Neurospora crassa OR74A: one gene and its partner. The protein of the gene in region 2 binds, or shares a complex with, the protein of the main gene of each other region. Links are inferred from orthologs where the notes say so. Each region holds a gene or a part of one and is shown on either strand. Other genes may lie near its edges. The genes, in order: NCU06617 and NCU01440.

Region 1 (3,664 bases), on a different chromosome or scaffold from region 2:
CCTTGTGCCGTTGACGGGAGAATTCAGCTTGCCTGTTTCCCCAGACAATATTGGTATCACAACATCAGGCACAGAATTCCACAACGGACTATCTTACTGACCACTCGGAGTTAATTTGGATCCACTGTTTGTGATTTGGTGCGTTTGTTTGGGTGGTCTTTGAGAATGTCCATCTTCGGGTAAGTCTCCACCTCTTGTTTACATACTTGCCTACTGACAGCATTGGCGCATTGCTTACTGTAATCATTGACATGTTTCCACGATAGCCGCTCGACGTTCTCCTCTGCTGGGTATGCTGCCTTTCGGCCCTCATATCCCTCGGTTCTTTACGACCGGGTGTTGAGATTTCACGGCAAAGAGGCCCCTTCCTCCCCATCACCATCGTCGTCTTCGCCGGCAGCTGGAACACTGCTAGACCTTGGCTGCGGACATGGCTTAGTGGCGCGCGCACTCGCTCCCTATTTCAACCGTGTTATCGCCCTTGATCCTTCGGCCGGCATGATTGAACAGGCTCGCAAGCTAACCGGCGACAACTCCAAGATTACGTTCAAGCAAGGCGGAGCCGAGGACCTTTCTTTCCTTGACGACAATGCCGTTGACTGTGTGGTTGCTGGCCAAGCGGCGCATTGGTTTGACTACTCCAAGGTCTGGCCAGCACTTGCACGGGTCGTGAAGCGCGGCGGAACCCTGGCTTTCTGGGGTTACAAGGACCACATCATCGTTGGGCGGCCGGAAACAACGCCCATCTTTGACAGGTTCATCTACGGCGAGACAGAGCCGGTGCCGGGCGTGGAAAGCATGATGTGCTTTTGGGAACAACCCGGCCGGAACATATTACGGGATTCACTGCGGGAGGTGGTCCCTCCCGAGAGGGAATGGGAACATGTGGTCCGTATTGCTTGGGATCCCAATCGTGAGACGGGCGACATTAGCGATGCTCCGGAAGAGGCCACTTGGTTGCGTCGGAGGCTCAAGTTGGGCGAGTTGGCGAGCTATATTCGCACGTTCAGTGCCTTCAGTGGTTGGGGAAGCGCCCATCCCCAGATGAAGTGCAGGGCGGACGGAGGAGAGGGCGACATTGTTGACTTGATGTTTGACGAGGTTGTTGCTGCGGTGCCGGAATGGAAAGCGGCGGGGGATCGATGGGCCGAAATCGAGGTTGATGCTATTTGGGGAACCGTTTTGTTGATGGCGAAGAGACGATGAACTGGAAAGGTAGTGTACAATTAAGTGTGGTGAAGAGACGATACTGTACAGTGGTGGTGGCTGACGTTGAACCTGCTATCCGGGCAGTATCACCGGCCCCCTTGCGTAACCAAGGTGCTCTCTGTCAGTAGATGTCTCTCTCGATTGAGCTAGCGGGCATGCAGTGCTGCTGTATCGCGAGTTGTCACCAGTGCCAGTGGGTGGTTGCCCTCCATTGGCTGCCACCGCGACCGGGATGCGGGCGCATAAGGTCGGGTACTGCGTAATGGCACAGACCAGTCAGCGCAACTCCCTGTCCGCAGCTCATTTCGCGGCGGGAAGGGAAGCCCAAATCGATCGCCCACTCCTTTTGCATCTAGCCTTGGTTCGCTTCTTGACCGTTCTTCTGAATAGCATCATCTTTCGCATCGAATCCATCAGCCAGCGTACTTGCATCGACTAGCCCTTGCGTCCTCTTTTGCGCATTCAAACGACATTCCCCCCCCTGAGACACAATGGTAAGTGGACCTGTCCCTGTTCATCCGCCGCGGGCACTGGCACGCGCGCGCGCCCCTCTCCATCCCTCCATCCCAAGTCCCAACCCCGACGCACGGAAACAGAAAGCATGCGAAAGCAAGAGCCAGGAACCCCGCGGTTGCCCATGACAACAAAGGCACAAGGTGCCACAACCTTGGAAGCCGCAGCGTTCTGCGTTGAATCGGAGCACTACCTGTAAAATGCGCCTGCGCCTGCGCCCGGCTTGAGCGTTGAGCTGCCAGGTCCTGCTTCGGCATCCATCCATCACAGACCAAAAAAACACCATTCATTTTGCCAACTTTCGATCGCATCGCTGCTCCCTTGCCGCTTGGGTTTCTGCGCCTTGTTCTCGCAACCATCGCCCTCGTCCTCTCGATTGCCGACTCTAGCACGATCGCAAAGCCAGCGCTTTTGCTTACGCTCAACCTACCGCGATTTACTACATACCCGCATTCTTGAAAGAACATTTCATTGCGACAGCGCAACTCAGGAATCATGGCATCTAACCAGTTCGACGGTCAGGCTTCTACCAACTACAAGGAGGCGTTCTCCCTGTTCGACAAGCGCGGCAACGGCCGTGTTGCCCTCGACAGCTTGGGTGACCTGCTCCGCGCTTGCGGCCAGAACCCCACGCTCGCCGAGATCCGCGAGCTCGAGAAGAACGTTGGTGGTGATTGTGAGTAATACCCGAGCGGAAACAAGTAGTTCATCTGAGATTAGTTACTAACAGATGCCCTTCTCATCCGACAGTCGACTTCGAGACCTTCCAGCGCGTCCTCAACCGGCCAGGTGGCTTCCGTGATCCCGGCGAGCCCGAAGAGTACTGCCGCGGTTTCCAGGTGTTTGATAAGGACATGACGGGTTTCATCGGCGTTGGACAGCTCAAGTACATCTTGACAAACCTTGGCGAGAAGATGACGGACGAGGAGGTAGACGAGCTCCTCAAGGCCGTTGATACTAGCTCCGGCCAGGTGAACTATACCGGTATGTCAGCCTCAGCACTTGCTGTTTGCTTGCCCTTTGCGTGAAACCTAGGAGTCTCGACTAACAATATGTGTACGACGCAAACAGAGCTTGTCCGGACCATCCTTGCCAACTAAAATATTGAGTAGAGGTGGTACGGAATGATGACGAGGGAAACTGGGTTTGGAGGTCAAACATCATGGGGCATAGTCGAATAGAAATCGCGGGACAAATCCGTCCACGGAGAAGGCGTCATATACCATCTATTACAGGGAAATCGCATGTGTTATAATCCAGGCAGGCGTCGGAGTCTTGATAAGATATGAATTTGGACATATCATTTACCGGGAACTGAAAGGCTTTCCGGACGTGTGTCTTAACCAACTACGCTAGATTGGGTTCCACGCCTGATCTTTCTTCCGTCCCCTTCTCTTGCGTGACGGAGGCGTGTTTCCAAGTATACGTTGTTTGCCCAGTACTCAGCAGTACAATATTCGTCATGAATCCCTTTTCGCTCTACTCGAAAAAGGGCTCGACCCTGTCAGTTTGCTTCGGGTAAGGCAAATGACATGAAACATCACAAAGGATGAATATGAGAAAACAAGGCCCTGGAGTTTGTATAGTCACTGGAAACAAGGCCAAACACGTTTCCGTCTTCCTTCGAATTCGGGCTCAAAGGGGATGTGGGGATTCCGATGTCCCTTTTCCGGCCTTCAGTCTGGGTACGGTCAGGAAGTGGAAGCAAGGTGTATCACTTGGCGGTATCTTTGGAGATGTTAATTCCTGTGTTGGATGACCAGAGAGGGGGTAACCAGTACTCAAATACTGCATTATCTAAAGCATCTATGTAATGTTCCTGCAGTAGACTGGTAACTTACAATGTCCGGTCGCGGAAGCCGGACATCTTGGACATTTCCCCAGCGGCTTGCATCGGTCTTGTCAATTATGGAGCCCCTGTCCTCCGCTGACGGCCATCACC
Region 2 (4,289 bases):
ATGGCAGACGGTGAAGGATGACTTGCCGAAACGGGGCTTCTTGTAGAATTTGTGCTTGTCGGCAGCGTAGTTGTGGTGAAGCTTAGTAACGAACTGCTCGTCGGAACCCATGGGTAGTCTTGATTCCTCGTCTAGAAGGGACAGGATACCAAGTTTGCCCTCGATAAGGTCAATGCAGGGCTGGTTGTCAGCAAAGTCGATGAAGGTCCAGTCAATCTGCTCCCTAAGGTATTCCTCCTGCTCCAACTTGAACACATGCTGGTTGAACTCCTGCTGAAGCTTCTCGTTGGCGTAGTTGATACAGAACTGCTCGAAGGAGTTCTTGGCGAAATGCTCGAAGCCGTAAATATCCAGAACACCAATGAAGGAAGTGACTCTGGTGAGGACCTCCTCCGAAGCAAGACTGTGATTGATGATTTCGACGAGCCAGTCGAACAGACTCGAGTAGATGTACTTGGCAACGGAATCTCGGACAACGATAGCCTGCGCCTGGGTCAAGTTGGACACGATCTTTTCACCACGAGTGACCAATTGCTTCTTGACGATCCACTTGGCAAATTCTGGAGCATCGATGCCGAGAATCTCGCAGGCCTTAACCAGCGATGGTTCGGAAGGATCGAGGGAACTGTCGTTTCGCATGGCACCAATCTTGACATTACCCAAGTGGAGGAGACCAGCCAGAAGCTTGAAGATCTCCGTTTGCTTGCCCTCGTCAACACCGATGGTCTTCAAAGATGCCTTGGTCGCATTGAACTCGGCCTTGTCATCGACGCCATCGATCGTGGGGGTGTTACCCTGGTTGAGGTACTCGAACTGTTCAACGGGAAGCAAGCCCAATTCCTGGCGCTCCTTGTCCGTCACACCAGCAACCAGCTGGTAGAAAATATGGTAGTTTCTTTCCTTCAACGGTTGGAAAACCAACCTCGATCGCTCGAGAAGGTAGGTCCTGATCTTGGCACCGATAATGTTGGTGGCCTTGTCAAACATGATTTCGATGTATTTACCGAATCGCGAGGAGTTGTCGTTTCTTGTCGTCTTTGCGTTACCAAAAGCTTCCATAATCGGGTTCGTAGCCAAGATAGCCTCCTCGGTCTGGCTCATAGACTCGTGGCCACCCTTCTTTACTCGTGATCCGGGGCTGTCGGGCGATTCTCTTGTCGCGAAGTATCTCATAATGTACTTGGCACTGACAGTCTTACCGGCACCGGACTCACCAGACACGACAATGGTCTGGTTCTTGCCATCGCGCAACATGTCCCTATTGTTATGTCAGCGATTACAAGTCAACATGAATCGTCAAATTGGCAAAGAGCCCATACATGAACGCTTCCTCAGCAATGGCGAAAAGATGGGGAGCTTGGGTTGCTCTTTGCTTCCCGGCATAGACTTGAACCATGCCTGGGACATAAAGAGAGTCAACCCGCGCGAACGGGTTTGTAGCTATTAGAACAATACCCGAGTATGTGTAGATTTCCTTCTGGGCATATCGAAGGCGGATAGCCTGAAGCACTAAGCACAGCACATGCTATCAGCATCACGTTCTCGGAGTGCGCCCGATGGCGGGGCGAGTCAGCGCAAAGGTGTGTGTATATTTACCAGCAGGCTCGTTCAGATGTGATAGGTTCGTCAAGTCATCACTGGCTTCGAGCATTGTTGGGTTCATCAAGGGCGGTAGCGACTCATGGCCGCCTGACTGGAGGGCCTCGAGGGAGACCTCCACGGTCTTAGTCTGCAGGCAGTAACACATGTTAGCATCTTGAAGCGCACCAGCCCGCAAAGCACGTAAACCAAAGCACAAAAGTCGGAATATGCCGAGACTTGGGAAAGCATAAGCTACCTACCTCGCCATTCTCGCACTCGAAGATAAGAGTGACCTTGTTGCCGTCTACTGTCTTCTTGACTACTTCAGAGGCAACCCAACCCTCGGTAGGATCGGGCTGCCAGGCTCGAGTGCCAACATCATAGCTCTCCGACATTGGATGCGCTTGTATCGGTGTATTCTCGAGGGAGAGAAAATCGGCGCGAACCTGCGAGTCAGGAGCAAGGGGGAAGAGATGTTGTGGTGGGATTTGGATGGCTTCAAGAAGCCAGTTCTAGCGGCGGAACGGCCAGCACGGCTAGGGGCGACGGGGGTGGATAGGGATAATGGTGGACCGTGTCTGTTATGGCGGACGCAACGACCGGAATGAAGAGCGGTCCAGGATGCTAGTTCGGTCGCGGAAGCTTGGAATCCAAGGGCCGGCGGGAGTGTGGTGCTGGCGAAGACAACATTCACGAAGGGAATGGAAGAGGGGGAAATTAGATACAAAAATAGGGATTGGACGTGGAGCAACACATTAAAGAAGTATAGAAAGATGTTGCTATCGTGCGGGCAACGGAGCCCAAGCCGACAAACAAGGTGGTCGAAGACGATGTAGGTCTAGGAGTTCGAAAGGGGGTTCGGCTCGTGTCGTCGGACCGATGGGAGTGTAGCGCGGGCTGTTCTTGGACGAAACAGCTGAAAGATGTTGTTGTTGCTTTTGTTGTTTGCTTTGCGTGCCCAAGGGAGCTAGCTGGTAGGTGTTTGGCTGACCGGGAATAGGTCAGGTCCTGTCACTGTGTGTAGGACAGGAAGGTTGTGGAATGCCGTATAAACGGGGCGGGCAGAACGGGCGGAGCGGGGACCCAACACACTGCCTTGCGGTGGGAGAACGGATTCGTCGAGCGGTCGAGTCGGGTTCTCTTAACGGTGGCAGCCTCTCTGTATAGAAGTGGCTGATGGTCGAGATAGCACCTGTGGATGAGGGAACGTCCTTGATGTAGTAGCCTGTCGGGCCGGTGTGGTCAACAACCAAGTCAAAAGTCGGGGTAGGCGAGAAGGCGGGACGACGAGACGGGATGTCGTTGAAAGTTTAGGGGTAGGCTTCCGCTTGTAGTGTAGCTGAGGTGCCCGGTGATGATAGAGCACTGGCGGGCCGTCGTGGTGGCAGGCTAACAGCCCGGCCGACGTTCACTTCCGTTGACAGGGGCCCCGTTGTTGTGGATGTTGAGGTGGTCGGTCTTTGGCGGCCACCGCCCAATTGGGTGCGTCGCTGGGCTCGTTGCATTAACACCGAAGCACGGACTCTTTCGTGGGCTTGGGGAGCTGGACTCCATGGAGCCCCTCCAATGAGCCGTAATTCCCAAATGACCTGGACAAGCAGGGCTCTCCTTAAAAGGGGGCACTAACCAACACTGCGAAGAAGATTACATACCTAGAGGTATGCTTGGGAATCCCGCGACTCTACATAAGTGGAAAGCTACATAGTACACAGACAAGGCGAAGAAGAACAATGGGTGACTGGCACCTCTAAGCAGCGTATAAGGGTTACCTTTGTCTTGTCCGGAGAGGTGTCCAGTGGAAGACGACATGATGTACAAGATGGGTCACGATGTCCAAGTCTACACTCTACCTTGAGATGTACAAATGTGTCTCTGGAGGCTCACGCCAATGGGTGAATAACCGTCAGGATATCCTATGAGGACGACCATGTTTCTCCTCCTGATCTATAGCCCTCTTGATTTGTATGGCTTCATCGTTCTCATTATGTACGGTCTTTGGTCTTCCCCTGAGTTTCTGTATTTCTCCCCGACAGCTCACCGGCGCCCCTCATCAGGGTAGCATTTCGTTTACACAACTCCCTGAAGGAACTCACGGAAGTAAGGCCCAATCTTACCAGACTCCCATGGCCAATTGTTTGCACTGGTCCGTTCGTTCGTTCATTTGTTCGTTCGATATGCCATCCAACTGGGTCCCCGTCTGGCCCGTCTGCCCGCTTGTTGACAGTTGAAATGCATTAACCTGTCCGCCTGAAAAGGAGAGAGATGGGCAAACTCAAAATGGGGCATAGTGTAAATACGTACCAATACCTCTATGGCATTGATGGGTGGACCGGGCTGAGTCTGGCACCATGACAATCAATTGCATTTGCGTTCAGTTCCTTCTTCTCTTCTTTCTGGAATCTGCAGGGGTAAAAAGAGCGCCAGCGAATGGCGGGTCGTCAAAGACTGTGGAAACTGTTGGAGACTACCTACTTACGGGCCCCACCAGGCCCCCCGTGCGGCCGGCAGCCCGAGTATCGGGGCCTGGGACTTGGGAGGAAAAAAAAAGGGGAGGGGGGGGGGGGGGGGGGGGGAGAAAGGCGGTGCTTTTGGTGGTTTGCCGCCGACTCCGCGTCGTCGCCGCCTTTTGTCTGCTCCGTGGCCGGATTGACGACGAGTGACTACTGTTACAATTCAGAGTCAACACCGTCCCTCACTCGGACGTCATC

What was found.
Region 1: the proteins of NCU01440 (region 2) and NCU06617 are in contact, whole or in part, in a crystal structure (PDB 1N2D), measured with the Saccharomyces cerevisiae proteins. The link is inferred for Neurospora crassa OR74A from reciprocal best matches to the Saccharomyces cerevisiae genes MYO2 and MLC1. Residues at the interface, in NP_014971.1 of Saccharomyces cerevisiae: Ile807, Ala810, Ile811, Lys812, Tyr813, Leu814, Gln815, Asn816, Asn817, Ile818, Lys819, Gly820, Phe821, Ile822, Ile823, Arg824, Gln825, Arg826, Val827, Asp829, Glu830, Met831, Asn834; in NP_011409.1 of Saccharomyces cerevisiae: Leu13, Phe14, Lys16, Asp29, Arg32, Ala33, Gly35, Tyr36, Asn37, Thr39, Asn40, Ala77, Thr78, Lys80, Ala81, Asp85, Phe86, Lys88, Ala89, Phe90, Val92, Met109, Leu110, Leu113, Gly114, Glu115, Lys116, Leu117, Glu121, Glu124.

Annotation. Positions count from the first base shown.
Region 1 is NC_026504.1:1,814,657-1,818,320, forward strand, and holds NCU06617 (myosin regulatory light chain cdc4), read left to right. Parts: upstream 1-1,569; 5' UTR 1,570-1,700; coding exon 1,701-1,703; intron 1,704-2,244; coding exon 2,245-2,398; intron 2,399-2,472; coding exon 2,473-2,706; intron 2,707-2,793; coding exon 2,794-2,822; 3' UTR 2,823-3,067; downstream 3,068-3,664. Other genes in the region: NCU06616 (S-adenosylmethionine-dependent methyltransferase), read left to right, coding at 166-179, 267-1,206. UniProt on the Saccharomyces cerevisiae protein: Essential light chain for the class II conventional myosin MYO1. Also acts as light chain for the class V unconventional myosin MYO2 and for IQG1.
Region 2 is NC_026505.1:4,738,374-4,742,662, forward strand, and holds the start of NCU01440 (myosin-2), read right to left. Parts: upstream 2,933-4,289; 5' UTR 1,977-2,932; coding exon 1,842-1,976; intron 1,730-1,841; coding exon 1,597-1,729; intron 1,510-1,596; coding exon 1,320-1,509; intron 1,259-1,319; coding exon 1-1,258. UniProt on the Saccharomyces cerevisiae protein: Myosin heavy chain that is required for the cell cycle-regulated transport of various organelles and proteins for their segregation.